Linked DNA regions of Oryzias latipes. The protein of the gene in region 1 purifies or fractionates together with the protein of each later gene. This does not show direct contact. Links are inferred from orthologs where the notes say so. Each region holds a gene or a part of one and is shown in the gene's direction. Other genes may lie near its edges.

The links.
Region 2: the proteins of roquin-1 (region 1) and fau purify together in Homo sapiens (affinity purification with mass spectrometry; 3 studies listed by BioGRID, with this or other methods). This does not show direct contact. The link is inferred for Oryzias latipes from reciprocal best matches to the Homo sapiens genes RC3H1 and FAU.
Region 3: the proteins of roquin-1 (region 1) and CCR4-NOT transcription complex subunit 7 purify together in Homo sapiens (affinity purification with mass spectrometry; 5 studies listed by BioGRID, with this or other methods). This does not show direct contact. The link is inferred for Oryzias latipes from reciprocal best matches to the Homo sapiens genes RC3H1 and CNOT7.
Region 4: the proteins of roquin-1 (region 1) and cnot11 purify together in Homo sapiens (affinity purification with mass spectrometry, with the first as the bait; 4 studies listed by BioGRID). This does not show direct contact. The link is inferred for Oryzias latipes from reciprocal best matches to the Homo sapiens genes RC3H1 and CNOT11.
Region 5: the proteins of roquin-1 (region 1) and cnot10 purify together in Homo sapiens (affinity purification with mass spectrometry, with the first as the bait; 3 studies listed by BioGRID). This does not show direct contact. The link is inferred for Oryzias latipes from reciprocal best matches to the Homo sapiens genes RC3H1 and CNOT10.
Region 6: the proteins of roquin-1 (region 1) and larp1 purify together in Homo sapiens (affinity purification with mass spectrometry, with the first as the bait; 3 studies listed by BioGRID). This does not show direct contact. The link is inferred for Oryzias latipes from reciprocal best matches to the Homo sapiens genes RC3H1 and LARP1.
Region 7: the proteins of roquin-1 (region 1) and nufip2 purify together in Homo sapiens (affinity purification with mass spectrometry; 3 studies listed by BioGRID, with this or other methods). This does not show direct contact. The link is inferred for Oryzias latipes from reciprocal best matches to the Homo sapiens genes RC3H1 and NUFIP2.

Annotation. Positions count from the first base shown.
Region 1 is NC_019875.2:24,168,794-24,172,293, reverse strand, and holds part of roquin-1, read left to right. Parts: intron 1-361; coding exon 362-482; intron 483-1,632; coding exon 1,633-1,872; intron 1,873-2,008; coding exon 2,009-2,184; intron 2,185-2,341; coding exon 2,342-2,542; intron 2,543-2,663; coding exon 2,664-2,796; intron 2,797-2,934; coding exon 2,935-3,053; intron 3,054-3,500. UniProt on the Homo sapiens protein: Post-transcriptional repressor of mRNAs containing a conserved stem loop motif, called constitutive decay element (CDE), which is often located in the 3'-UTR, as in HMGXB3, ICOS, IER3, NFKBID, NFKBIZ, PPP1R10, TNF, TNFRSF4 and in many more mRNAs.
Region 2 is NC_019882.2:10,168,123-10,172,196, reverse strand, and holds fau (40S ribosomal protein S30), read left to right. Parts: upstream 1-1,274; 5' UTR 1,275-1,375; intron 1,376-3,197; 5' UTR 3,198-3,204; coding exon 3,205-3,279; intron 3,280-3,356; coding exon 3,357-3,501; intron 3,502-3,612; coding exon 3,613-3,668; intron 3,669-3,783; coding exon 3,784-3,909; 3' UTR 3,910-4,003; downstream 4,004-4,074. Other genes in the region: prpf39 (pre-mRNA-processing factor 39), read left to right, coding at 1-105, 187-273.
Region 3 is NC_019868.2:26,784,432-26,788,562, reverse strand, and holds the start of CCR4-NOT transcription complex subunit 7, read left to right. Parts: upstream 1-1,331; 5' UTR 1,332-1,533; exon of another isoform or gene 1,534-1,763; intron 1,764-1,933; 5' UTR 1,934-1,940; coding exon 1,941-2,057; intron 2,058-2,666; coding exon 2,667-2,860; intron 2,861-4,014; coding exon 4,015-4,131. UniProt on the Homo sapiens protein: Has 3'-5' poly(A) exoribonuclease activity for synthetic poly(A) RNA substrate. Its function seems to be partially redundant with that of CNOT8.
Region 4 is NC_019879.2:14,490,649-14,494,911, forward strand, and holds cnot11 (CCR4-NOT transcription complex subunit 11), read left to right. Parts: upstream 1-1,463; coding exon 1,464-1,782; intron 1,783-1,861; coding exon 1,862-2,026; intron 2,027-2,097; coding exon 2,098-2,250; intron 2,251-2,572; coding exon 2,573-2,775; intron 2,776-3,159; coding exon 3,160-3,362; intron 3,363-3,477; coding exon 3,478-3,574; intron 3,575-3,659; coding exon 3,660-3,857; 3' UTR 3,858-4,164; downstream 4,165-4,263. UniProt on the Homo sapiens protein: Component of the CCR4-NOT complex which is one of the major cellular mRNA deadenylases and is linked to various cellular processes including bulk mRNA degradation, miRNA-mediated repression, translational repression during translational initiation and general transcription regulation.
Region 5 is NC_019874.2:7,757,059-7,760,009, forward strand, and holds the end of cnot10 (CCR4-NOT transcription complex subunit 10), read left to right. Parts: intron 1-611; coding exon 612-742; intron 743-814; coding exon 815-847; intron 848-924; coding exon 925-1,052; intron 1,053-1,853; coding exon 1,854-1,929; intron 1,930-2,137; coding exon 2,138-2,298; 3' UTR 2,299-2,451; downstream 2,452-2,951. UniProt on the Homo sapiens protein: Component of the CCR4-NOT complex which is one of the major cellular mRNA deadenylases and is linked to various cellular processes including bulk mRNA degradation, miRNA-mediated repression, translational repression during translational initiation and general transcription regulation.
Region 6 is NC_019872.2:3,469,417-3,472,916, forward strand, and holds part of larp1 (la-related protein 1), read left to right. Parts: coding exon 1-60; intron 61-1,769; coding exon 1,770-1,932; intron 1,933-2,283; coding exon 2,284-2,428; intron 2,429-3,280; coding exon 3,281-3,455; intron 3,456-3,500. UniProt on the Homo sapiens protein: RNA-binding protein that regulates the translation of specific target mRNA species downstream of the mTORC1 complex, in function of growth signals and nutrient availability.
Region 7 is NC_019872.2:16,918,423-16,922,440, forward strand, and holds the start of nufip2 (nuclear fragile X mental retardation-interacting protein 2), read left to right. Parts: upstream 1-1,218; 5' UTR 1,219-1,534; coding exon 1,535-1,682; intron 1,683-4,018. UniProt on the Homo sapiens protein: Binds RNA.

The DNA of each region.
Region 1 (3,500 bases):
TAGAATGTAGCACCAAAATAAAGTAGTTATGCGAGTTTGTAGACTCTGCTGACGGTACTAAAATGCTTTGGGTGAAACCAGTTTATCCTAATTCTTGTCCAAATGAAAGTGAAATTGCAGAATGACATGCCTGCTACAAACTAGTGCGAGAAATTGAAATCATGTTTGTTGTTGTTGGTTCACAAACAACTCTTTTCAGTTAGAGATGTTCACAAGTAAAATGGATATAGCCTTTAAATTAGATTTTTAAAAACGTATCTGTTGATTTGACCCATTCATTCATACAAGCTTAATAAAAAGTTGTCCTATATGTATTTTGTGTAGCCTGCACTAAATTTTGGTTGTTGTTTTTCTCTTGTAGATTCCAAAGGCTCAGCCAGTTGCCTTGATTACCAGTCCAGAAGACTCACAGAATTATGAGGTGGCCAGGCAGTGTGTAGAGGAACTGGCCCTTTATCTCAAACCCCTCAGTAACAGCCGAGGTACTTTAATACTTTCAACAACTTTCTCCTTCTATCCTTATTAGTTCTTTACGCACAACTTTTGCTCTCATTTTCTTTTATAACCTTCACAAAAGTTCAGACACATTCATGGAAACTGCCATTATATGTACAGTATTGTTTTCAATTGTACTACTTGTTTACAAAAATAGAAAAGCAGTTTCAAAATGCAATGCAAAAGTTCAATATCCCGAGGAAAAAAGGAATGCAGAATTATCCTTAGCATTCTAATGTGGTGCATAATAAATGTAGATTTGAAGCTTTAATTAATAGCTTTTTTTAAAATAAATATGATTTTCCAAACAATAATAGTGTTTTTGCGTAAACAAAGGACATGTGGCGTCTGTAAAGTTTTCCTAAACAAATCTGTAAAATACTTATATGATACATCAGATGGTTATAAAAAAAGGTTGTTGATGATTATCTGAATATTGTCAAACATCCAAAATATTTTCAAGACCAAATTCACTTTTATTGGTCCAATATTGTTTACACATGAAATCTATTTTTTTTACAAGGAAGAACAAATTGATTTTGCTGCTTTCATTTGATGACATTTTCCACTTTCTGTATTTAAGTAGCTCTCCTTGCATAGTCAGTTTTTTATTTTTTTTAATTTAATGTGCTTTGACCAAATACAACACTTATAAACTGCAGCATTTTGCTCATTGGTGTATTTTGTCAGAAATCATTGATCTAATGTATTTTTTCATTTAACTTTTGCCATTATTATAAAATTTATGGTGCAGTTTCATTACTTTATTTTTATAATATTTAGTTACTCTGTGAAAAATCTAGACTAAACTAAGTGTCTAGAAAGAGCTCAATGCATTTTTTAATTAGTTGATTCGTCCACAAAAAGGAATTCAAGGAGTTTTGTACTTTGGAAACTAGATTTTTACTTTAAGCATTGTGATGTCAATGTTAATACTAATGGCTCATAACAAGAACGTTTCCACTACAAGTCTTGGGTTCATGTTCTATTGACTTTTTTGTTCTCTCATTGTGGTTATACTCTAGGTGCTCCACTCGTTTATGTTTGCATCGACCTAAATGTAGAGGGATATTTCTGTGCTGAGCTGTTTTCTTATTGGTTATTTTTTGATTAACCTAGCCTGTGATGCGTCTGCAGGTGTGGGTCTGAGCAGTACAGCCCAAAGCATTCTGAGTCGACCCATGCAGAGGAAATTGGTAACTCTAGTCCACTGCCAGCTGGTGGAGGAAGAGGGCCGCGTCAGAGCCATGAGAGCTGCCCGCTCCCTGGGTGAACGAACTGTCACTGAACTCATCTTGCAGCACCAGAATCCACAGCAACTCTCTTCCAACCTTTGGGCAGCTGTTCGTGCTCGGGGATGTCAGTTCTTAGGTCCAGGTAATTTTTTTAAAAATTTCTGAAGTTTAACCGGGAATGCGACTGTGCATGTAATTAATAATTTTTTTAAAGATTTTTTTTTTTCCTTAAGTCTTTCGCCATGTAACATCTTTATTGTGGATTTCTCCTCCCATAGCAATGCAAGAGGAAGCTCTTAAGTTGGTCCTCCTTGCTTTAGAAGACGGTTCTGCTTTGTCCAGGAAAGTGTTGGTTCTGTTTGTGGTCCAGAGGCTGGAGCCTCGCTTCCCTCAGGCCTCTAAAACTAGCATAGGCCACGTGGTACAGCTCCTTTACAGGGCTTCCTGCTTTAAGGTACGTCTCCATCCGTCAACTAAACGAATGTCTCTTTTTTTTAAATATTGGACAAATAAAATCATTCTGTCTTGGTGTTGAGATAAATGTTTCAGTAATCATGTCATTAAATAATTTCTTTAAGCGTTGAACAGAGTTGTCTGTTTTGGCCCTTTAGGTCACCAAACGTGATGAAGATTCATCTTTGATGCAGCTGAAAGAAGAGTTTCGTACTTACGAGGCTCTAAGACGTGAGCACGACTCTCAGATCGTACAGATTGCCATGGAAGGTGGATTACGCATAGCACCTGACCAGTGGTCTTCTCTGTTATATGGAGATCAATCTCACAAGTCTCACATGCAGTCTATAATAGATAAGGTACACAACAGTTTGATTTTGCATTCAGTTTATTTCAAAATACATCATAGATATGCCTGTTTTGCTACACTTGTAGTTTTTTTTGTTTTGCATTTTCTGTACTTAATTGGTTCTCATTTAGCTGCAGACCCCAGCATCTTTTGCCCAAAGTGTCCAGGAGTTGACAATTGCACTGCAGAGGACCGGAGACCCAGCCAACCTGAACAGGCTGCGGCCCCACTTGGAACTGCTGGCAAACATCGACCCCAGCCCGGGTTAGAAAACTATTTTTTTTTATAAATTTGTGTTACACAGTGAAGCAAGAGCATGCCAGTTCAAGGAATTACATGACATAATGCAGACTTTGAGTGGTTTCTAACTGATTGATTCTGATTTATTTTAATTTTTTTTAGATGCTCCTCCTCCTACGTGGGAGCAGCTAGAGAAAGGGCTTGTAGCAGTGAAAACAGTGGTACACGGGCTAGTTGACTTTATCCAGAACCACAGCAAGAAGGGAGCTGACCCTCAACAGGTCAGTGTTTGAGTGACTGCACACTGCAAAAGAATATTGAAACGCTGTCAGATGGATGGATCTGGATTTTTGATCTAAAAGGTCGAACGCTATTCATGTTTAAATAGTCATTTTTTTTAAGTAATTTCTTTTCCTTGAATACCAGCATCTTGGGCAAAACAATTGGCAATGTGTTAAGTTGACTTTTGGAGAATCAACACACTGCTTCCACTAAATATGTTTCACAAATGATAAAGTTTGTCAGCTGTTGCCAAAAGCTCCCTTTAAAAATAGTTGTTCTTCTTGTGGCTGTCCATCAAATCTGGAAGTCTTAACAAAACAAATATGTCGGCAGAATGATTTCATTAAAACAAATATTGGCTTTTAAACCTAAAAAACGGTTACATTGAAATATAATTATTTTTACAACCTGATGTATAGATGGATGCTGTAGTAAATTATGGGATC
Region 2 (4,074 bases), on another chromosome or scaffold:
CCAGATGCCAAAAGGCAGCGTGCCGACGATGGCTCTGCAGTCGCAGCAAATTCAATGACCGACATGCAGGCGAACAACTCTGCCTACAACTACAACTGGTACCAGGTGGGCTGTCACCTCTGTGTTGCCGTACAGATGCTGATGCTCATCTTCAGGGTTAAACTCTACTCTCTTTGTCCTCTGCAGCATTATGGGGCCTGGGGACAGAACTCCTGGGGACAGTACGGCCAGTACAACCAGTACAACCAGTACTACCCCCCTCCTCCTACATGATCGACACGGCTGGCGTGAAGACCCAGACCTCCTCAAATCAGTTTGCTGGTTATCAGGAACCCTTTGCGTTGAATCCCAAACTCTGCACAGCATGATTTTCATTTCTTATTCTCCCACTTCTGTTTAGTAGTTAAACCCAGAAGTCAAAAGCGTTCTGGGGGGGTTTAGGACCGATTCAGCTCAAGTGAAGACTGCTGTATTCCTTTAGCGATGCTTATATTTTCCAAAAACCTTTTTGAGGAAATGACTGGTGTTTGAAGGGAGGTTAATATTTCAGTGTTTAGCTTTTTTTTTTTTTTTTTTTAAATCCTACTGGTTAGTTTTTGTCTGTTTTAGATTCAAACCTGCAAATGAGGCTTTCATTGATGTTTGAGTCATGGTTTCTTCCACATTGGTACAATTTTAATATGTTGGTTTCTCAGACAATGAAGATTTTCTTTCTTTTTTTAAAAAAAAGTTATTTCATAATAAAGAGATTACTATCTTCAAGTGTCATGTTGGATTTATTTATTTTTTGGACAGTTTTCTTAAATCTGGTGCTATTATTTTGGTCCAAATATTTTGTTTCCAATATTGGATAAATACAAAGATTCGACGTTGTACAAGCAAACTACAGTTTTAAAACCATTACAATTACATGAATCTATTCTTAGTCAAACACCTTTATAAATTATTTAAATGTTATCTTTGGACAATTATAAAAGGCCTGACAGTGAAAGTATTAACTCACATTAGCGGTGTCCTTGCAATTTTTCAATAAAGTTTTGTCAATCATACCTAGTTTTTTATGGTTCGTATTCCTTCCTGACCTCACATAAATGATGTCCTTCCCATGTATAAGCCTTTCTCTTATCTTAATCCTCTGTATTTTCAACCTCAAAACTTTTACCAACACATTTACCGTTCCTTTTGTCAGCGTGTCAAAAAGATTTTCTTTGCCTCCCCCGCTTTTCTCCAACTCGCTTTGTTTTTAATTTTTTAAATAAAGTTTAAAGAAAAAATGGCTACATACGCAATTGCCTACGTAATCGTGCACATGCGCATGCGTACCCTTAAGACAGCCCTTTTTCCGCTGATCGCCGATCAACGAGCATCAAACGAGGTTAGGCCTTTTGTTTTTTGAGTCAAAACTATGCATACAAACAATTCAGCACGTATTTTAACACATTTGTTGTACTCTTAAAACGTTTAATAACCATCTGCGGACGCGTATATTGTGACACGAGGGATAATTTTGATGTTTTTAGGGAATTTTGTGAAGCGCATTTCCATGTGGCTAGCATTGCTAGTAGAGTTAGCCGGAAGAGATAGGTTAAGTTCCAAACTGCGTTTCTGATCATCTTCTACTAGGATAAAATTTTTACTTTTGCATACAGAACTGGGTTAGTACCAACGTAGAAATTAGATATTTTACTTTTAAAGACAATTTAGTTCGTTTATGTTTACCTACCAGAAAACCTAAACCAATTCGAAAGTTTGCACGTGAACGCTAGTTAACGCCAACACGTTGTGACTAAAAATTAAGGCTTAAAATAATAAAAATATCCCTTTTTGTCTGATTAAATTGATGTTGGCTGTAAAAGTTGATCATAGCAAATTCATGAAGTTAATGAAAAAACACGATCCAAGTGTGCTGAAAAATACAAGTTTTATTACTAAGGCAAAATAGGTTGGTTTTTATATGAATGAACGATTAAAGGGGATAAAATAACGACCTTTGAGAAGCTCAACAATTTATTTTATTGCTAAAGTTTTTTCTATGACAGAATGTTCTGTTGTCTGGTTAAAAACTAAAAAGGTAAGTACGTTTAAACATACAAATCTGACATCAAACCTACAAAATAATGATATTCATAAAAACAAAGCAAAAATGTAATGTGATTTATTCAATATTAAAGAACTTTTGTTGTTAAACTGATCTCCAAATCTTATATTTAGTAGAGAAAGTGTCAGCCTCTTTGGTTGCAAATCCACATTTATTTAAAAGTGGGAAACAAATAATCCTAATTTCTTAAACCTTAGATCAGTAACAGGTTTGACAAATTGAGAAATGTCTCTTAAATCTGTTATTTTTTGCACAAGTCCCACTAGAGTTTTAACAAGGCTGTTGTTGTTTTTTATGCTAATGTAAATAAATATACCAGGGTAAATAATGCAGTTCTTTTCTCTGGGTAAGCTTCTTATTCAGGCCAAGATAAAGCAACATTTTCATCGACCACTATATAAACATCTTTTTTAAAAAGTTATAATAGTCCAACATCAAGTGTAAAAAGATTTTAAAATGTAGCTTTTATATAGAAGTTGAGTTATTATTGATTTGATTAAAATTTATTAAAGGCCTAACTACATTTTTTTCATAGAACACTGTTTTTACTCTTAATTTGAGTCTAAATCATCTTTCATATCTATTATGTTGTCCTCAACACATTAGTTGGTTGCCGTTGGTTTTTAAGTGGCGGAGCAGATGCTTCAGGAAGACGGCACAGATATTCAAGACGCGTGACCAAGGCGAGCTACTACGTCAAGAGTTATAGATAGATGTGGTGCTGACAATACACCATATTAATTCAATAAAATGTAATCCAGAATAAGATTAGTAGTGGCCAGTTAACAAGATAAGCACCGGTCCAGGGAGTTGGGGACTACTGCTCTAGGGATCCACCAACGTTTGCCTGACTGGATGAGAAATGTGCTCCTGTAAAGGTTTTCATGTTCTCCGCTTTGGCATGGAGATACCTGGAGGAGTTCTGCAGAATGGTTCAGCACTTTAGAACGTTTGTCCTCTGTCCCATTCATTCTCAGTTCCTTATAGAAGCTGTTGTTTAATAATACTGGCTTGAATGAAATGCTCAGTCGTCAAACTGCCCACGATTCCACACTATCTGTTTATACCAGCTTCTTAATGTTGTTGTTTGTCTTCTCAGCGTGAAGATGCAGCTCTTCCTGCGCGCCCAGAACACTCACACCCTCGAGGTGACCGGAGAGGAGACGGTTGGCCAGATCAAGGTAACTCAGCACCTGAATTTACCAAAACGACGCCTCCGGTGGAGGAATCTTGAAACCATGACTTGGTTTTCTTTCAGGCTCATGTCCAAACTCTGGAGGGAATCCTGGTGGAGGATCAGGTGCTGATGCTCACTGGCTGTCCTTTGGAGGATGATGCCTCCCTCGTGTCGTGTGGCGTCTCAGAATTCTGCACCCTGGAGGTGGCCGGCAGGCTGCTGGGAGGTCAGAAGAAAGATGAAACCTTCATTTTCTCATTCTGTGTGGCTTTGTGCACAATTCTCAGATAAACAAGAGAGTTCAATAATCAAAGACCACCTTTTGTCCTCCGAACAGGTAAAGTGCACGGCTCTCTGGCTCGTGCTGGAAAAGTGAGAGGACAGACTCCTAAGGTGAGAGCTTTTTAAGCCAAATATAATTCAACCTGGGGTTTTGTATCGTTTTGGAGCTGATGTTGTGAGGCGCTTGATGCTCTCGTTCCTAACCCTCAGTTCTTGTGTTGTCCAGGTGGACAAGCAGGAGAAAAAGAAGAAGAAGACCGGCCGCGCCAAGCGCCGCATTCAGTACAACCGGCGTTTCGTCAACGTAGTTCCCACTTTTGGAAAGAAGAAGGGGCCCAATGCCAACTCCTAAGAGGTTGTGTGACCTGGAGGTGGACCGGCACAGCTGGATGTTTTCACTTGACATCTTCTGTACAGAATAAAAACGCTGCTCTGGCTTCCCCGGCTATCGTCTGCTTTAATAGTTTCCACACGAGTAGCCATTTCAAAAATGGTTCTGTCCTTCTGGTTCGGAGTA
Region 3 (4,131 bases), on another chromosome or scaffold:
GCCGGAGACCCCGGAGAAAACCCACGCATACACGGGGAGAACATGCAAACTCCACACAGAAAGGTCCCCCATTGATGTTCTGTTTTTCACGTCCCCCAGCCGGGACTTGAACCGGGGGCCTTCTTGCTGTGAGGCAAGAGCGCTAACCACTGCGCCACCGTGCAGCCTAAATGCAATAATATTTACTAAAAACGATTTTTTTGTAATCTTATATTAGCCACTGATTTTTTTTATTTTAGAAAAAATTACATAGTGGGAGATTGTCCCATTTTGTCTTTGTGTTGCAAATAAATAGAAGATGAGGAAGTGAAGCAACAATATGTTTATAAATAAATTATTTTGTTTTAAAAAGTACACATCCTACCTGAGGATGTGTACAAATCAAGAAAATGTGGGTCATAGTTTCAGGTTTGGCATCACAAAAAGAACCACTGGTGTCATCATTTTTGCAGCTGTGTAAAATACTTCATGCCCGAATTTATTCTCAATGTTGAAAAAACTTCCTTTGTGAATGAAGTGCTGGAGAAAATGAAATGTTATGAATTACTAACTTACGGGATGAGGGGTTAAAGGTCAAAGAAAAAGAAAAAGAATGAAATACAGATAACATAGAAAAAAATTAAACATTACAAAAATTACATAAGGTATGAAAAATTATAAGGGCATTTACACAACATATTGGTTATTGAGGGTTTGTGTTCAACAATAAAAGTTAAAGGTAAAATCTTTTTCACCCTAAATGTCCTCTAGTCCATATTTGTTGAAAATGTTTCCCTTAAAGATGTCAATCATATGCATTCTTTTTTTTCATCTTAGAGTGGTCATAAAATGATCAAAATCAACAAAAATGCGAACGTTGGATTATGATGCGTCTGTGAAAATTGTACTTTTTTATTAAAACAAGTGATTTGAAAAACGAATTTATCTCTGCATCATGTTTTACTTGAATTTAAAATGTGGCCTTTTTGGTTTCATGGCTAACATTTTTATTTGTGTAAAACTTTTTCAGTAATTTACCAAAATAATATAACTTTAGGGGCAAAAAAAAGTTTATTTTACTTTAATATAAATTGAAAAGAAAATATATTTTGTGAAAAAATAAAAAAAATCTGTACAGTATAATTTTTAAAAATAATATATCCTTTGAAAATAATTATATATACACTTTCAACGAGAGCCTGTTCACCTTGAATAAATTAGTAATTAATAAGAAATATATAACGTTTATTTGTACTTTTTAAAATTTATATATTCCTCTTTACAAACATTTATTGGAAAACCTTTTTTCACATTTTACGGATGAGGATCCTGAAACGTCCTTACGTCCTGACGTTTCACTTTACGTAATGACGTCACTGTGTGGGGTCCGCTGTGATGGCAGCCGTAGGTTGACATCAAGCCCCACTGAATATAAAAGTATTTCAAAGTTGGCGGAACACCCCCCTCCCCTCCCTGCTGACAGATATCACAGAACACACGGCCAGCTTTCAGATAGCACACGCTCAAACACGCGCGCGCCCGTTTCGGGGAACGGTGAGTCAACGAAACAAAACCTTTGCAGTCTCCCAAAAAAAAAAAAAAGAAAAGAAGTGACGCCCCGGCGTGTGTGCGCGCGCGCGCACTGCTGCTACTTACTCGTGCCTGTCCTGTTGTACAACCACTCCTGTGTAGTTGATCGAAACTAATGTTTTGTGTGAGAAAACCGCACAGTCGCCACTCCTCTTGTTCGGAAGTTTTACCTCCAACCCGCTAACTGTTAACAGGTAACAAGCTAGCAACAGTGCTGCTTTAAATTACGAGCTAGCAGGCGGCTAAAACACACATGACTTCTACTACTAACTAAGCGGCTCTTTTCATGTGGTTTCGGCTGCTTTGTCTGTGTTTTCATGATGCTCTCATCATCCCCCGCCCCCCATCTCCACGCGTGGTGAAGTGGCACTATGCCCGCAGCCACTGTAGACCACAGCCAAAGAATATGTGAGGTCTGGGCCAGTAACCTGGAAGAGGAGCTCAAGAGAATCCGGCACGTCATCCGAAAGTACAACTACATCGCAATGGTGAGAGATGCTCAGAGACCCCACCCATCCATCCACCTATCCATCCACCCACCTATCCATCCATCCACCCATCCATCCATCCATCCACCCATCCATCCATCCACCTACCCACCTATCCACCCACCCATCCACCCACCCATCCATCCACCTATCCATCCACCTATCCATCCATCCATCCACCTATCCATCCATCCACCTATCCACCCACCCATCCACCCATCCACCCACCCATCCATCCACCCACCCACCCATCCACCCATCCATCCATCCATCCATCCATCTACCCACCCACCCATCCATCCATCCATCCATCCATCCACCTACCCAACCATCGATCCACCCATCCATCCATCCACCCACCCATCCACCCATCCACCCACCCATCCATCCATCCACCCACCCACCCACCCATCCACCCACCCATCCATCCACCCACCCATCCATCCATCCATCCACCCACCCATCCATCCATCCACCTACCCAACCATCGATCCATCCATCCATCCACCCACCCACCCACCCACCCATCCATCCATCCATCCATCTATCCATCCTCCCACCCACCCACTGTCACTGGTGTCCACGGTCCCTCGTTCTTGCCTCTTTCAGGACACAGAGTTTCCAGGAGTTGTAGCCCGACCCATCGGAGAGTTCCGGAGCAATGCCGACTATCAGTACCAGTTGCTGCGCTGCAACGTGGACCTGCTGAAGATCATCCAGCTGGGCCTGACCTTCATGAACGAGCAGGGAGAGTACCCCCCCGGGACGTCAACGTGGCAGTTCAACTTTAAGTTTAGCCTCACGTGAGTCTCTCACTATGTCTAAACAGACTCGTCCGCTTGGATTCCCATGAACGACTTCACAATCTGTAAAAACAATTCAATTCAAAACACATTAAAGTCCTATATGCCTTTGATCTATTTTAAAAGCATTCCCAATCAGATTTAAATTATGGTTATTCCGTATTTTAGCCACACACAAAAAAAAGTTGTCATTTTCCTGGATATAGTTTCTGCAGTTTCTACCCTTTATTCTCCTTCCTTGTTGCTGAGAGCTCTCTGTTTACACAATCTCCCGGTAGCTTACAGCCCCCTCATACCGCCTGACCTGATATTGACCGGTGCAACAAAAAGGGCGAGCCAGCTCAGACGAGGAAGACGAAGGTTAATTTTCTTTATGTATCATCAAAAAAAAAAACCACCACCACATGTTAAGCCCTCCAAAAACACAACTTACATTTTTTTTATCAGAGGGGGTAGGCGCACAAAGGGGATTTAAATTAATCGAAGAGAAAGCATCCTGAATGAAAATAGGAGTTTTTATATTTAAAAAAAAAAAAACAGATCAAAGCTGCCTGAAAAATACAAGTAATTAATGAAAAAAATAGCAATAATGCATGCTCTAAATAGGAAGCACAGGTGTTTTTTTAATTGTTTTTTATTGTTAAACAGATGGGGTTTTTTTTTACTTTTTTTACGTAAGCTTGGGTGGCTTTTTAAAAAAAATTTTAAGTTATGTTTGTTTTGTGAATCATGTAAAACATCTAAAGATTCTTGGAGAAATCCATGGTGGATGTTCTGGGACGGAGGAGGCGGGGCTTACAGGAGAAGCATTTGTCTTTCAGAATAAGAGCGGCGCTTTCATCCCTTCTCACACGATTGGTCCCCCGTGGGTTCAACGATGCTTTTCAAAGTCAAGCGTTATTCTGTCCATCGTTCCCAAATGGAAGAATTTGCACTTTTTCCAGCATCCAGTCAGATCCTAGTCGATCTATTCCTGCCTTAAGTTTTTTTTTGAAGGTTTCCCTCTTTGCTGAGCAAACCTACAAAGTTTAAGTTTTTTAATGGTTATTCTGTGGCGTTTTGTTTGTTGTTTTTTTGGAATGAAAGCGTGAAGCTTAGAAACAGAGATGTGTTTTATTTATTTATTTCATTTATGTATTTATTGTTTTAACCAGAGAGGACATGTACGCGCAGGACTCCATCGAGCTCCTGACCACTTCAGGAATTCAGTTCAAGAAGCACGAGGAAGAAGGCATCGAGACGCTGTTCTTTGCAGAGCTGCTGATGACATC
Region 4 (4,263 bases), on another chromosome or scaffold:
TAATTATAATTGGAGGAGACCTGAATATGGTGTTAGATTGTCGACTGGATAGATGGCCACTACAAACTAATAATCCTAATGCTGAACTACTTTAATTTATACAAAGTTTTCATTTAAAAGATCCTTGGAGAGAAGAATCCAAACAAGATCAAGTTTTACATGGAGCAACAAAAGTATCTCCCGGCAGTCACATATTAGCCATATACTGGCTTGTTTTTGATCGTCTAGATACAGATGATATTAATATTAACATTTTTTTTTTAAAGATGGCAGTCAAATTCCCCGAGCCCTAAATCTAGTAAAAGATTTTTCTAATGGCCCTGCACTTCATCTTAACATCAAAAATGTGAAGAACTACCTATCAAATTTGACAAAACACGATCCATATGTAAAATTCCCATCACATACATGTAACACACCTAGGGATTACTATCACCAAAAATTATGGAAACTGTGTGTTGGCTCTCCAGCAGCAGCAGTTGTCTCTCTTGCCGCTCGGGAACTCTCTCCCGACGCCAAAGCCGTTAAAGACATCCCTGTTACACACAACCGTGTTTGCTTCTTAACTCTTAAATAATGGACACAGGAGACATTTCATTCTGAACCTGAAGTGCAGCTCCCCACTCACTTCGTCTTGACTATGATGAGAGGCTGCGCCTTCCTTTTTATTTTCAACTGCACGTAAAAAAAATTGGCGCATGCTTACGTAATAACATAATCAGACAGAGATCGTCTATGGTGACAGACATTGTACTCCAACACTGTGTAACATACCTAGGGATTACCATCACCTAAAACGAACATAAGAGAAGTTCTTCAAATTTCAGTCCCTAGTAAAACGTTTTAACTTATGGGTTTTAATTTAGGTCTCTTACCTGAGCCTAAAAGGCAGAGTACTGCTATCTCTACCTTCTCTTAACTCTCTCTCTCTCCCTCTCCCTCTCTATCTATCTATTTAAATAAAACAAATGTGAACGATTATTTGGTAGGAATAATTCATATACCATTTCCACCTGCTGGACTGGAGAGAAACTGAAGAAAACTACATCACCCAAGATGCAGTTCACCGGAAAATACGACTAAAAAATACTTCAAGCTAATGGCTCGCAGCACTATCCCATTCAGGGTCTTATTTCTTTCTCAGTCCTGGAAATATTATCTTTTGTAACTCTTTGGTTCGATTGATAAGTTATACGTTCATTTAATCTATTTGGATAATTATTTTTAAAAAGATGATTGATGTTTTGACGAGTTTCCCGGTTTTGTAGCTTATTTTTAAGCTAGGCTAACTTGATGCTAACCGCGTTATAGGATCTCAATCGAGATGACTTCTGGGCCACCGTCCTCCACTCTGCGTCTTCAAAGATGAATAAGCGGGTAAGAGCGCCGCTATAGTTATACAGAAAGACTTATCAGGGACCCCGGTCAATCTCTGCATCCGATCGAACTGTGGCGGGGAAACGATGACTCTGGCTCCAAAGGAACTGTCCAACCTGCTGAGCATAATCTCGGATGAGGCCTGCAACAACAGCTTCGAGACCCTCTCCACTCATTTCCATCATTACTTTGGGAAGGCGGACCACTTCAAGGTGGGTTCGGTTCTGGTCATGCTGCTGCAGCAGCCGGACCTGCTGCCCAGCTCTCCGCAGCGGCTCACAGCCCTCTATCTGCTCTGGGAGATGTACCGAACCGAGCCGTTGGCCGCGAACCCGTTCGCCGCCGTGTTCGCGCACCTGCTAAACCCAGCACCTTCCGGGGATGAGCAGGAGAAAGCCCTGTCCGGTAGGGCCGCTTCCTTTCACCTTTAGCCCGACGTCTCATCAGAACCGCAGCCGCTCAGTCTCTGTTTCGTTGGGTCCAGGCTTCCTTCCTCCCATCACGCAGCCGGAGAAGTTCTTCCTGTCCCAGCTGATGCTGGCTCCGCCCAGAGACCTCTTCAAAAAGACCCCCAGACAGGTGTCCTGCATGGACGTGAGCAACATGCCCCCATCTATAGACATCAGCGGGCTGCAGCTTCCTTTAGCAGGTCAGTGAAGGTTGTAAGGAAACATCTCATCACAGGTGAAGACGCCGTCAATCCCAGCCCTCTTTTTGCAGAGCGCCAGTCAGAGCTGCCCACCCAGAGCAAAGCCAGCTTCCCCAGCATCCTCAACGACCCCGATCCAGACTCCTCCAACTCAGGCTTCGACAGCTCTGTGGCCAATCAGATCATTGAGTCTCTGGTCACAGGGCTGCGTCCTCCTCTGGAGAGTAAGTGCTTTTTTTCACACAAGCTGTGATCACATCTGTGGAAGAAAGAAGGAATCTCCTCAGAAAAGATGGTAGCCGTCTCCTCAGCAAAAACTCACGGTTACAGGTTGATCGGCGCCGACCTGATCTGTTGAGTGCGATTGATCTTTAACTGATACTTTAAAAAAAAAAGTGTTTGAGTGACTGTCTAGAAGGTTTTTGCTGAAGTTATGTCATTTTTCAGTAGTTTTATATTAAAGTATTTAGACTTTGTTCAAAGGCCGTCTGTCTGAAGGTGTTGCTATGAGGCATGGTAAGTACCAGTTTCTCAAAACCCTCCCAGGTCATTTTCGACCCGAGTTCATCCGGCCGACGCCTCCGCTCCACACATGCGAAGATGAGCTGGCGTGGCTGAACCCCACCGAGCCGGACCACTGCATCCAGTGGGATCGGTCAATGTGTGTGAAGAACAGCACCGGCGTGGAGATCAAACGCATCATGGCCAAGGCCTTCAAGAGTCCGCTGTCGGCTCAGCAGCAGTCCCAGGTAGGTCTGATGCTGATCAACAACATGTTTGGTTTACACAAAGGCAAAGTCAGGGTTAAAATAAAAACTTTATTTAAAATAGGAACTCCTGTTCTTTGCAAAGAAACAAAAACTTAACTTCAGATCTGCTCTTTTTTCATTTTTAAATCAAGATTTATCAAAACAAAAACACAATTTGTGGGAAAAGTATTTGTTTCTTTTTTAACCTTTGTCTTCCTGGATTAGTTTTCTGGTGGTCTTAAAAAAAATCAACCTTTATTTTTCCCTTCACTCAAAAACTTTATCGTCCGTTCCCTAAAAGACAAATTATTTCTTGTGGAGGCGTTGACTCCTACTGCTGTGCACCGCTGTCACTCCTCTGTATTGACCTCGCCGTGTGTGCAGCTGCTGGCTGAGTTGGAGAAAGACCCAAAGCTGGTGTATCACATCGGCCTGACGCCTGTGAAGCTGCCTGAGCTGGTGGAGAACAACCCACTGGTGGCCATCGAGATGCTGCTAAAACTGATGCAGAGCAGCCAGATCACAGAGTATTTCTCAGTGCTCGTCAACATGGACATGTCGCTGCACTCCATGGAGGTGGTAAACAGGTGGGGGCGGGGCTTTGGCTGTATTCAGACCTGTTAACGAATCTCCAGTTGGGTTCCAGTTTGGTGCTGTTTCTGTAGTTTGGAAGTGATGGAGTTGTTTGCTCTCCTCCGTCAGGTTAACCACAGCTGTGGATCTGCCTCCAGAATTCATCCACCTCTACATCTCCAACTGCATCTCCACGTGTGAGCAGATCAAAGACAAATACATGCAGGTCAACACGCGTTCTTGGAACTGTGAACTGCTGAAGAGAGCTCAAGAGTTTTCCTCTGGAATAAAAACCCGCTTGATTCTTGCAGAACCGCCTGGTCCGGCTGGTGTGCGTCTTCCTGCAGTCGCTGATCCGAAACAAGATCATCAACGTCCAGGACCTGTTCATCGAGGTGCAGGCCTTCTGCATAGAGTTCAGCCGCATCCGTGAAGCGGCCGGCCTCTTCCGCCTTCTGAAGACCCTGGACACTGGGGAGAACCCGGCCGAGGCCAAGCCCATCAAATGAGCAGGAGTCCTGACATCAGAGGGAGCAGGGAGCCGTACAGCTCAGTCATGAGAGGACGTGCTGTAAATATGCAGCTCTGCGGAGGATCTTTGTCACTGACTCATCAATTTTTTCTTTATTAAACCCTCGAGTTTGTATTATTTTCGATGTCATTTCCTGAGTGATCAAATGTTGCATTAAGTCAAAGCTGCAGAAATTCCATAAGCTGCTATCACTTCGGCAGATTTACTGGAGCTCAGTGAAACATTTGAACTCAAAAGTGTTTTACTCCTTATTTTGTCTCCATAAAATTGTTGAGTGTTTGGTTCTTGTGTGCAGAGTTGTATGTTTGCAAAGCGTGACACAAGTTCTGACCGTTTTCTTCTGCTCCCAGTTTTCTAGCTTTTAAAAATGTTGAGGGTAAAGT
Region 5 (2,951 bases), on another chromosome or scaffold:
CATCTTTGCGTTTTACATGAGGTACATCAAGTCGTTGGTGCAATTGGCTCTAAACTGAGAATAAAAGTCACAGTTTTGAAATAAATATAAATTTTTAGTCCAAATGTTTTCCTCCAGATTCCATGTTATTTCTCTCTTTTATAAGGTAGATTACCAAAACTGGCTCCTGGTCTGGTTCTTCTATTGAACCCTTTGTGGCCCACGAGTCTCAAAGTTATCCCACTCCTGATCTACAGCATCTCAAGCATTTTATTTTAAACCTCATTTCAGTAAGAGGAGGAAACTCATAGGATGAAAAAGATTGTTCTGTGCATGCAGTCAGAATCTGAATGGTAGAAATCTGCATCAACAGACCAGCAGGCCAAGAAAAGGACAGACGCCTCCACGAACATTGATGAGTAACGAACGCAAGAAGCACTTATGAATTATGTACATCACGCATGAATCACAAAAGACCACAATTTCATAAACCGAAACTTGCACAAAATATACAAAGTGGCTGTGTGACACGGCCTTAAGAGAGGACCAACCTTCTGGGAAAAGGCCTTCCAGGTACAGAGGGGCAGGGAAAAAACAGCAGTCCGTCGCGTCACGGCTTCTCCTCTCTGCAGGTTTCTGGGTCACATCTATGCCGCTGAAGCCCTCATCTCACTGGACCGAATCTCAGACGCCATCAGCCACCTTAACCCAGAGAATGTGAGCGACGTGTCGGTGGGTGTTGTGAGCAGCGATCCGGATCAGGGTCAGTGGGCTTGCTCTTTACAATAGAAGCTGCACTTCTGCTTCCTGCGTTCTTATTCTGTCTGGTCAGCAGGTCCAGAGAGGGGAGAAGAGCCAGTGGAGCCTTGTGAGTGTTTGCACCTTCAACCCACTGTAAGTTGGAACACTTGTCATTTTCATCACTGTGACGTCCTGCAAACGCAGCAGGGAAGAAGACGCCTCTATGTTACCCCGGCAGCGTGGCGGCGGCTCGCTCCATCATGCTCTTCAACCTGGGCAGCGCCTACTGCTTAAGGAGCGAGTACGACAAGGCCCGCAATTGTCTGAACCAGGTCAGTGCCTTGGTCCACACACACCTGAAAGCACCGCCATCGCCAAAGCTGCTCGCTAAGACTATGAAGAACTCTAAGAGATACGCTGCTGTTTCTGCAAGATTGCAGTTTGAAAGGGAAAATGTATTACATATTACACTAGGGGGCGCTGCTTGGCAATTTCCTATGAATTTTGGCACCAAAACACCACCATGAATTAAAGGAGCAAAAGGCGGAGCCTCAGAGATCGAGTCCTCTTACTTCCGGGTTGGAAATCAGCTGCGAAAATAAAAAGAAAATCATACTTTGGTGTGCCAGAGGTGATAAATGATCATACATGGATATTGTTTACTATAACAGGCTTAAGACTAGCATGGTATAGGCCCTTTAACAATAATGAGTACTTGTGATGTTTTAGAGATCATTTATGGTGAGTTACTGCTATTGTTTGTGTGGGGTGTTTTGGGTACTTTATTGGCGGTCCCCGTCTGCCTCTGCAGCTTCACAAACTGTGACTCGTTTTCTGCATCGCCACAGACAAAAACAAACCGTTCAAACTGGTCAATAAACCTACATCCAACTGTACTTTATCCACTAACACTCTGTAATGTTAGTGGATAAAGCAAGTAGGAAGAACAAAACAGACTGGTGAGATCATGACAAGCACACAAAAAACGGACCGTGACACATTCACAGGCATGCCGGCCGGCGACTTTTGAGGCTCCTGCCAGAGTATTTTGCCAACTGCATGTTTTTCGTCTGCTCCTGACTTAGAAATCCAACTTCAGTCTGTTGTGTAACGGCTGGTTTGGTCATCCTCAGGCTGTGTCCATCACAAACGGGAAGGAGATCCCCCCTGAAGCCATCCTGCTGGGCGTGTACCTGGAGCTTCAGAACGGTCAGTTGTGGGCCACACTCCTACATCCTGGAGGTTCTTTGTCTAACCGCTGATCTACTGGATGGAGGAGGTGATCTGTGGAGATCCACAACCTCACAGCTGCCGTGCTTCCCCTCCTCTCAAAAGACGTTGATGCTGTCTGTTCTGTGTCTAGTCATCCTAATGTTCAGCCTGCTTTTCCTCAATCCCCACGCTTGTGTGTTTTTAGGAAACACCCAGCTGGCCCTGCAGATCATCAAACGGAACCAGCTTCTGCCCATGGCCGTCCACAGGACCTCTCCAGAATCCCACAGGAAAGCTACGTCATCCCTGCAGTCCTTCCAGCCCCTCCAGCTGCCATCATCCTTCACACAGGTTCAGCGGAAATGAGCTTTTGGGAGCCCCCCCCCCACAGACCCAAGCAGCTGCTTCTATAACTCTACCCTCTGTGACTCTCGGAGAGCAGCACTTTTATTTCTGTTGACTTATAAATGTTTTTTTCTGAACAGTGTCAATAAATTTAACTGTCTTAAATCAAAGCCAGTTTCTGCATCATCGTCTCTCTGATTCTGCTGGTTGAACACATTTACCATGACCATCTGAACGGGACCCCCCCCCCCACACACACACACACACACAACTCTCACCCCCCTAGATTCAAAATAAAAACTGATGTGCAGCAACGGCCTGTAACTGGCGTTCAGTATCTTCTACTTCAATTTTATTTAAATAGCCCAATATTTACAACAATAGTCATCTCAGTGGGCTTCATACCGGTAACTTTGTAATAAACATGAATCAGAGCATAAAGTCATAGAATTGAATAGGTAATGGCTAAACTAAACTGGGCATCCGTGCCCAGACCCTCCTTCGCAGTAAGGATGGTACTTGTGATGTTTTCGCCATGGACTCTTCGGAACATGGTCAGGCAGTCCGGGAACCAAACTTTACACCTGAAAAGAGGTTGGCCGTTGTACCTCTGCACCTCACCCACTGAAGCTTTGGTTCAGGGAAATATCTTAATCTACAGCAAAAATACTCAT
Region 6 (3,500 bases), on another chromosome or scaffold:
TCAGAGGTCGTGGACGCGGACGGGGAAGAGGCCGGGGCCGAGGAAGAGGAGGAGGCAGAGGTAATCCTTTTCCTCATCCTCTCTGCTGATCAGACTCAAACATGACGCTGCGGCGCCAGCCTCTCCTCTCCAACAGCTGACACAAGCGACGTGACTAACACTTACATGTGTTTACGGGGCTTTGCCCTGCTCTTTGACTCGCAGGTTCTGCAGTCAGTCTGACCTGTAAAGCCAAAGTCAGTCAGTCAGTGAGCGAGGCGTCCACGTCTGTTCAAATGCTTTCAATGTTTTAAATGGCAACATGCCCTGAAGGGGTTAAACCCCAAACATGATTAGTTCAGATGGAGATGCTCCTGATGCTCCTTTGGGAAAGTTGGTGGTGGTTGGATGGATGCACCAAGCGGCTCCTGGAGCTTCCTGACCTGGAGGCTTGATGCAGAAATGATGAGCTTCCATGTCTCTTCTCTGATTGAACATCTTGTGGAGAAAAACCCGCACAGCTCTGATCTGCGGCTCACCGCTCTGACATTTAGTCTGGACCTAAAGTCAGGCTTAAAGCTTCTGGTAAAACAGCCATTCTCTGTAGTTTATTTATAGTTCTGTGACATCTGGAAGCCCAGAAGAGAAACAGAAAGTATGACTGGCTGCTAAAAATGACTCATGGTTGTTTTTCGTCCAGAACAGCTGAGCAGGAAAAACCTTCATTCCAAAGCTGCTTCTTTTCACGTTCTTTAAAAAAAAAAAAAGAAACTTTTTTGTTCTCCTCACTTTTTTGCGCTTCTTCCTTAAGCGGCCTGTTTCCACAGGAGCGTCTCACTTTTGTCCAGACTCTGTGGTTCTTTGTTTGGATTATTTTTTGTTGACATGGAAGTGAAAGCCGGCTGAACAGGTGACGACAAAAATACTCAGCAGCAACGATTTTCCCTTTTAGACGTGTTTATTTCTGATTTTCAATAGAAAAACGCTTCGTATTTTAGCTTCAGGCTGATCAACTTTGTTGCCAAACTGTCAGATTTGACTGTTAAGTTAGAACCTTTTTCTCTTTATGGCCTTTAAAGTTCTAAAACTACAGCTGAACAGTTTTTACACCCAGATTTTTAAAACAAAAACATTTTGTTTTTATTCTGTTCAGTTTCAATTGTTTATTTGCTACTAAATACATTTAATTTCCATTAGGATATTTCCTATAAATGTGGTTTTTTTCTGCTTTTTAATGTTTTATTGCTTGTTTTTGTTGTTGATAAACCAGAGGATCAATTCTTTTTTTTTTTTTTTTTTCAAAATTGTTTTTATTGGATTTTAGAGCAGCAATATTAAACACGTGATAACAATGATTACACTTTTTTTTCCTCCCCCCATTGAAACCTAGAACAAAAGGAAAAAAAAAAAAAACTCCAAACAGAAAGGCGATACACATCCCATCACTACGCCTAATATACACCAAAAACATATAATAATAGTAATGAATCATTAAAATTAAGAAAATAAAATGGCAGCACAACATATTTGATATATCAAAAGAAACTCTAGGATCAATTCTTTAAAACGAAATATTTTATGTTCACATAAAAAACGTCAGAATTCAGCTTTTAAAAGACAAAAATTGTCCCTATCTAAATGTTTATTGTATATTTTATTTTTGTGTCATAAAAAAGAGTTAAAACCCTAAACCTGATGCCCTTTTTACATTTATAATCTGGATTCGAGAACATCTGATGTGCAGAGAAACTAACATTTTTTCCTGTTAACGTGGTTCTCCGTTCTGGAAGGTCACTACGACTACCACTGCACCTACAAGTCCTACGACGGGAAGGACGGCTCCTACAGCCAGAAGTTTGGCAACTCCGTCACGTACTACTACGACAACATGAGCAGCGCTGAGCTGTACTCTGTGGACCAGGACCTGCTGAAGGACTACATCAAGAGACAGATGTGAGTCCAGCTCGCTGGGAAGAGGCGTATACGGACGAGGAGGAGGAGGAGGAGGAGCTGCAGAAGTGATGAGCTCTTCATGTCTCTTCTCTGATGAATCATGAGCAGAGAATTTTGACTCTGATCTGAGCTGTGAAGCAGGTTTTGTCCTGAAGCAGAAGCTCAAAGTGAACCTGCTTCTTGTCTATATTTAAACCTTGAACAATGTGGTTTCTGTTTCCACAAATACCAGCTTCCCTCCTGGGAACTTGGTTCCTCTCCTTCTCCACCACGGACGCCACGGCATCAGTTGAAGCATTTGTTTGTGTCGTTTTGTTGGTGACTTGAGTGGATCTGGTCTTTCCTCTGCAGAGAGTACTACTTCAGCTTGGAGAACCTGGAGCGGGACTTCTTCTTGAGGAGGAAGATGGATCAGGAGGGCTTCCTGCCCATCAGCCTCATCGCCAGCTTTCACCGAGTGCAGGCCCTCACCACAGACGTCAGCGTCATCCTGGAGGTGAGCAGGAGCGGACGAGTCCACCTCTGCCGTCGCTATGGAGACGCATGCTCAGCTAGGACGGGAAAGCCTTCTGCGGGCTGGTTGTGGCAGGTTTTTGGAGCTCAGGTGTTCAGTTTGTCATCTGCTTTTTGCAGTCTGCATTGAAGGAGCCTGACGTTAGTGGATTTTGATGATTTGACTGATGCAAAACGGCGACTGAAACGAGCAAGATTGAGAAATATTGGTGTAAAACCCCAAAAAAGCTTTGTTTTTTATGAAACATTTTTTTTCAAATAGTTTATATTATAATAAAGAATGAAGAAAAAAAAAAGGTTCAGAACCATCAGATTCTCCTCCGTGTTGGTTTGGACTCCGCCCAATGATTGCATCAGTACGTCACAGGCCAAAGCTGAGTCCCTGATTGGTTGACGGTGCGTCTTCTATGCTAAAGTTCAGATATTTGACCTTGCACCTGTGATCGTGTCTGAAGGTTGAGCTTGAAACTGGCCGCCCCTAAAGCACGACCGTGGTTCATATTTGACCTCTTTAGTGTTACGTCCCTTTTCTTTCTTCTAGATGTTTTAGTGATTTTCAGCTTTGTGGTTTTTCATCACAGTTGCATCCGGGATTGTATTGATGCTTTAGAGTTTCCACGGAAACACAAATGTGCTGGTTAACCAGCTTATTGAATGCAGGGAAGCTTCAGACTTGGAGGTTTCTGCAGAAATTATGAGTTTTTCATGTCTCTTCTCTGATTCAGCATCTGTGGGGAGAACTTTTAGACCTCTGATCTGCAGACTCTGCTTCTCCAGGGACAACAGAAGCTCTTTCTGGCGAGTCTTTACTTACCATTGCTGTGTCTGTCATCAGGCTCTCAAGGACAGTAAGGAGGTGGAGGTGATCGACCTGAAGATCCGCAGGAAGGAGGACCCAGAGAAGTGGCCTCTGCCCGGCCTGAGTTTACCCAACAACACGCACACAGACTTCTCCCAGCTCATCAACTGTCCCGAGTTCATCCCGAGGCAGATGACTGGGGATCCGAGAGGTCGGTCCATTCCCGCCTTCCTGCACCTGCTCCACCAGAGCCTCA
Region 7 (4,018 bases), on another chromosome or scaffold:
TTCTGTCAAGTTGTCAGAAAGGGTGCTCATATTGTGTCTAAAAGAAAACCAAATACTTTTGTCAGAAATAAGACATTAACTATATGGTCAACTCTTTCTTGATGAAATGATATACAAATGTAAATTAGAGTGAATAACTTTTATTAAACAAATATTAATTTTCTTATCCCATTATTGCACAGGTCTTTGCTTTTCCTCCATAAAAAATCATCTGAGGGATCATTTGATTTAAAAAAAGAAAAAAAGTGGCAAAAGTTGCCATAAACCTGCCAACATATTTATTTTAAAAATAGTGTCCAGGATATGTTTAACCAAGTGCCTGGAGAGTACTGTTCTCTGGAAACCTTCCATTTTTAAAAATAAATCTTGCTGTTAAATGAAGCAGTGATATGAATATTTCATATAAAAGTAGCTGTCAAGTGGAAGGGGGCCAGGACTGCATACATCAGCAGTAAAAGTGTGTTGGAATCAAGAGAGTGCTTTAACTGAACAGAAGGGAAGAAGTGAATAAAGGTTGCTTGATTCTTAACTTTCATCATTTGTGAATATTAGCTATTTAAAACATATTTTGTATGATTAATTGTCTTAATGGTGGCTTATAAATTATGTAATGTTAAAGCTGTATTTTTTGTAATGTATTTTAATCTCAAACTTAAAAAATAGACAAAGCTTTGATCTGAAATATTTATTTATAGCCAATTTCATAATAGAGATTATAATCTGAGGACTTCCACTCGTGGCCACTAGATGGCATTGTTTCAACGATTATCTAAACGCGTGAGCTGTTCAAAGATTCCAGACTTCTCCCACTTTTTGAAAAGTGAGGCGCTTCAATTAACTCTAAAACTTAACAAATTTACGAGTATTTTTTATTACACTTTTTCTTTCATTTTTTAAAGCATAAATGAAGAAACTATCCTATTATTGTTTCTAGATATTTATAACTGCAATCCCGTGTTTTAAATCTTATGATTACAATGAAAAGGAGAATTGAGTTTAATTGAGGCGAAACCCCTTTGAACTAAGTTCTTGATTTAACAACTGTCAATTCTACAAATTTGAAACAGTCCAATATTTTATGTATCTGATCGTATGTATGTATATTAAACAGCAGTTAGAAGACTTAAAACAAACAAAAAGCATTTATTTAAAGGCTGACCCTCCATCAAAGGTTGTCCACTGGCTGGAGACGTGGCAGCGCCTCGGGTCATATGATTTTTGGCTCATGCACGAACCCCACCCCGTTATTTCCTACCCTGACAGGGGGGGTTATTGTTCTCCTAACTTCTAATTCTAGAGTAAAATGCAGATTTGATCGACAAAGGCGCTTGAATATGATCTGCAATGGCCAACAGAGGGTCTGGACGTGGATTTAAGTGGCGGTGACCACCCAAAACAGAGCCATTTTTAGACATTTGCTGCTGACGTTTACACGGGCTTCAAATAGCTTCCGTTTCACTCTGGTAGTGATTGGACTGTTCGGCACTAAGAGGGAGCTAACACCGCCTCAACCAGTCCGACATTCTTCACTTCAATGGAGGAACAGCCCAAAGATCGGGCACAAGACAGGCAAAACCATCACCACGGAGAGGACAGAAACTATACTCAACACACACTTCGTCTGAAACATGATCAGAGCCACATCCAGTGCCAGCATCAGGAAACGCAGGCGAAGAAAACAGGTTAGGCCGTCCCGAAAAGTCAGCTTGTTGCTAGCTTCAGTTGGCTAATGTCAACGAGCGCACGAGCCCTCGCTAAGTTCCCACAATTGAAGCTTTATCCTGCTGATTGTTGGTTGCACGGTTGAATATTTTCAGAACCGCCGTGGCAGTTCGGTGGCTCGCTCGAGGAGAGCCACGCTAGGCCTCTGTCACACGAGAAACTCACGCTTTTTTAAAGCTGACGTTGCGTGACAGTTGGTTTGACATATCAGGGATTGACCTTGTGCGCCGGCTTTGCTTTCCGATTTTATTTTAGCTAACGCCTCTAATAAAAGCTTTATTTGTGCCACCCTGTGTCTGTAGAGACTAACTTAGTCTTCCTCCAAACTTCAACCTCCTGTAGTGTATCGGTTTCGAGTCCAGTTAGGAAACCGAGCCGGCTCCGCTGGAATGTTCTGTGCTCCCATTTCCTGTCGGCCATGTTAGACGTGGACTGTAAGCTAATGCTGCTTTTGCTCTCCGAGTAGCTACATTGCCCATCTCTATTTGTTCATGCTTTCTCTAATTGCCGCCGGGGACTGAAAATAACGGAACCAGGGAGTCGTCTGAAAGTGCGCTAGTGTTGAGCGAGCTACTGGTTGGTTGACATTCCGCTAGCATTAGCTGTCTGACAGGCCTATCGCGTGTTGTGAAGTCACGCAAGATGCTGCCTGACTGACTGTGTTTGCAGCCGTGGAGCGTGGAAGAATTGGCTCAGAAAACTGACTGCTGTAAAACACTGTTTACTAAAAAGCAAAAGTGATTTATTCTGTGTGGGGAATCTCGCGTGTTTTGTCCACAAACATTCGGCTGGAGAAATCCCGTGAAGGGAAAAGTCCCACGTTTGCACCGCGGTTCCCATGCTTAAGTAATTACAGCACAATAAGCATAGGTCATCACACACGTCCAATGTGGGACAATGACATCAGCGTCAACTGCAGCATATCAAGGATGTGACTAATTAAAACAAGATCAGTTTTATTCACAACGAGCTGTATATACGAGATGTTGGTACTGAATGATCAACTGAAATTTCAAAAACCTGTTATTGAACATGGAAGTGAACTGGATGAGATTATACTCATGAATCTGGGTGTAATGATTCGATTCATATCCTAATTTCTGGTTGCCAGTACAATTCATAGTCTGTATTGGTTCATTTGATCTGAAACGATTTACTGACCTAAAATGGATCCAGGACATCTTTAGCCAAAAGTTCCTCCAGTGTGACTCAGAAATACCTGGTACTGAACAGTGCAGGTGAAGTTTTCCAGATTCCTTGTATTTCTTGTAAGATAATCTAGTGTAAATTAAATGTGTGTACAACCAAACAAGTAAACAAGAATTAATGTAAAATCCATTCACCTCTTAATTTCCTAAAGTTCAGTCCACTGTTGTTTCTCCACATCAAAATAATCCAAAGGGAACATTTTTAGAACATTCTAGCACACTGTATGGTCGCATGTCTTTGCTAAATTCAAAGTGTTTCCACATATTGGACTGGAATAATAGACTGATCATTTTTTGCTTACATCACGTGTGTTTTGTCTGCTGTGATGCAAATGCTAAATTCCGATAATGATTATAATTAATTTGTCTCATTTTGAAACGATTTTATACTGTTGTAGGTCGATTGGTTGACAACCTGTCTCAGACAGATCAATCTGGTTGGATCGTAGAAGTAGAAATCAATTAATCAGTTATGTTGATTAATTGTTACACCTCAACTTACAAGTATAGGTAATTTGATACAAAAAATTATATTGATTTCTCCAAAAAGTACTGATTTATGTTTAATTCCAATTAACTTAGAACTCAAGTGAGTAAAGTTGATGAGACCTAAAAATAACATGTTTTCTAATATGTATTGATATTGCGTAACAATATAGCTGCAGAGTCATATTTGTAATTCGTTTGTGCCATTCATACATGTTTGCAGGTCATCTGAAAAAGCATTTTCTGCTGCTTTAACCATGAATATCCTTTACCAACCAAACGTATAAATAAAGGCAACATCAACCTAAAAATAGACTTGTTTAGTTTTATGTCAAAATTAACATGTCATTATTACGGGCTGCCTTGGTACAGTGGAAGGGGGTCGACCTCTGATCAAAAGATTGCAGGAAGGTGTCCTTGGGTAAGACACTGAACCCCACCTTACCTCTGGTGGAAGGTTGGCGCCAGTGTGTGTGCATGGGTGAATGGGACTGTGACTGTAAAGCGCTTTGGGCCTTCTAAAAAGCTTGTAAAGCACTAAATAAGTATACGGCATTTACCATTATTTAGTAGAAATGTTATTTAACGTGAACGGCCACTAA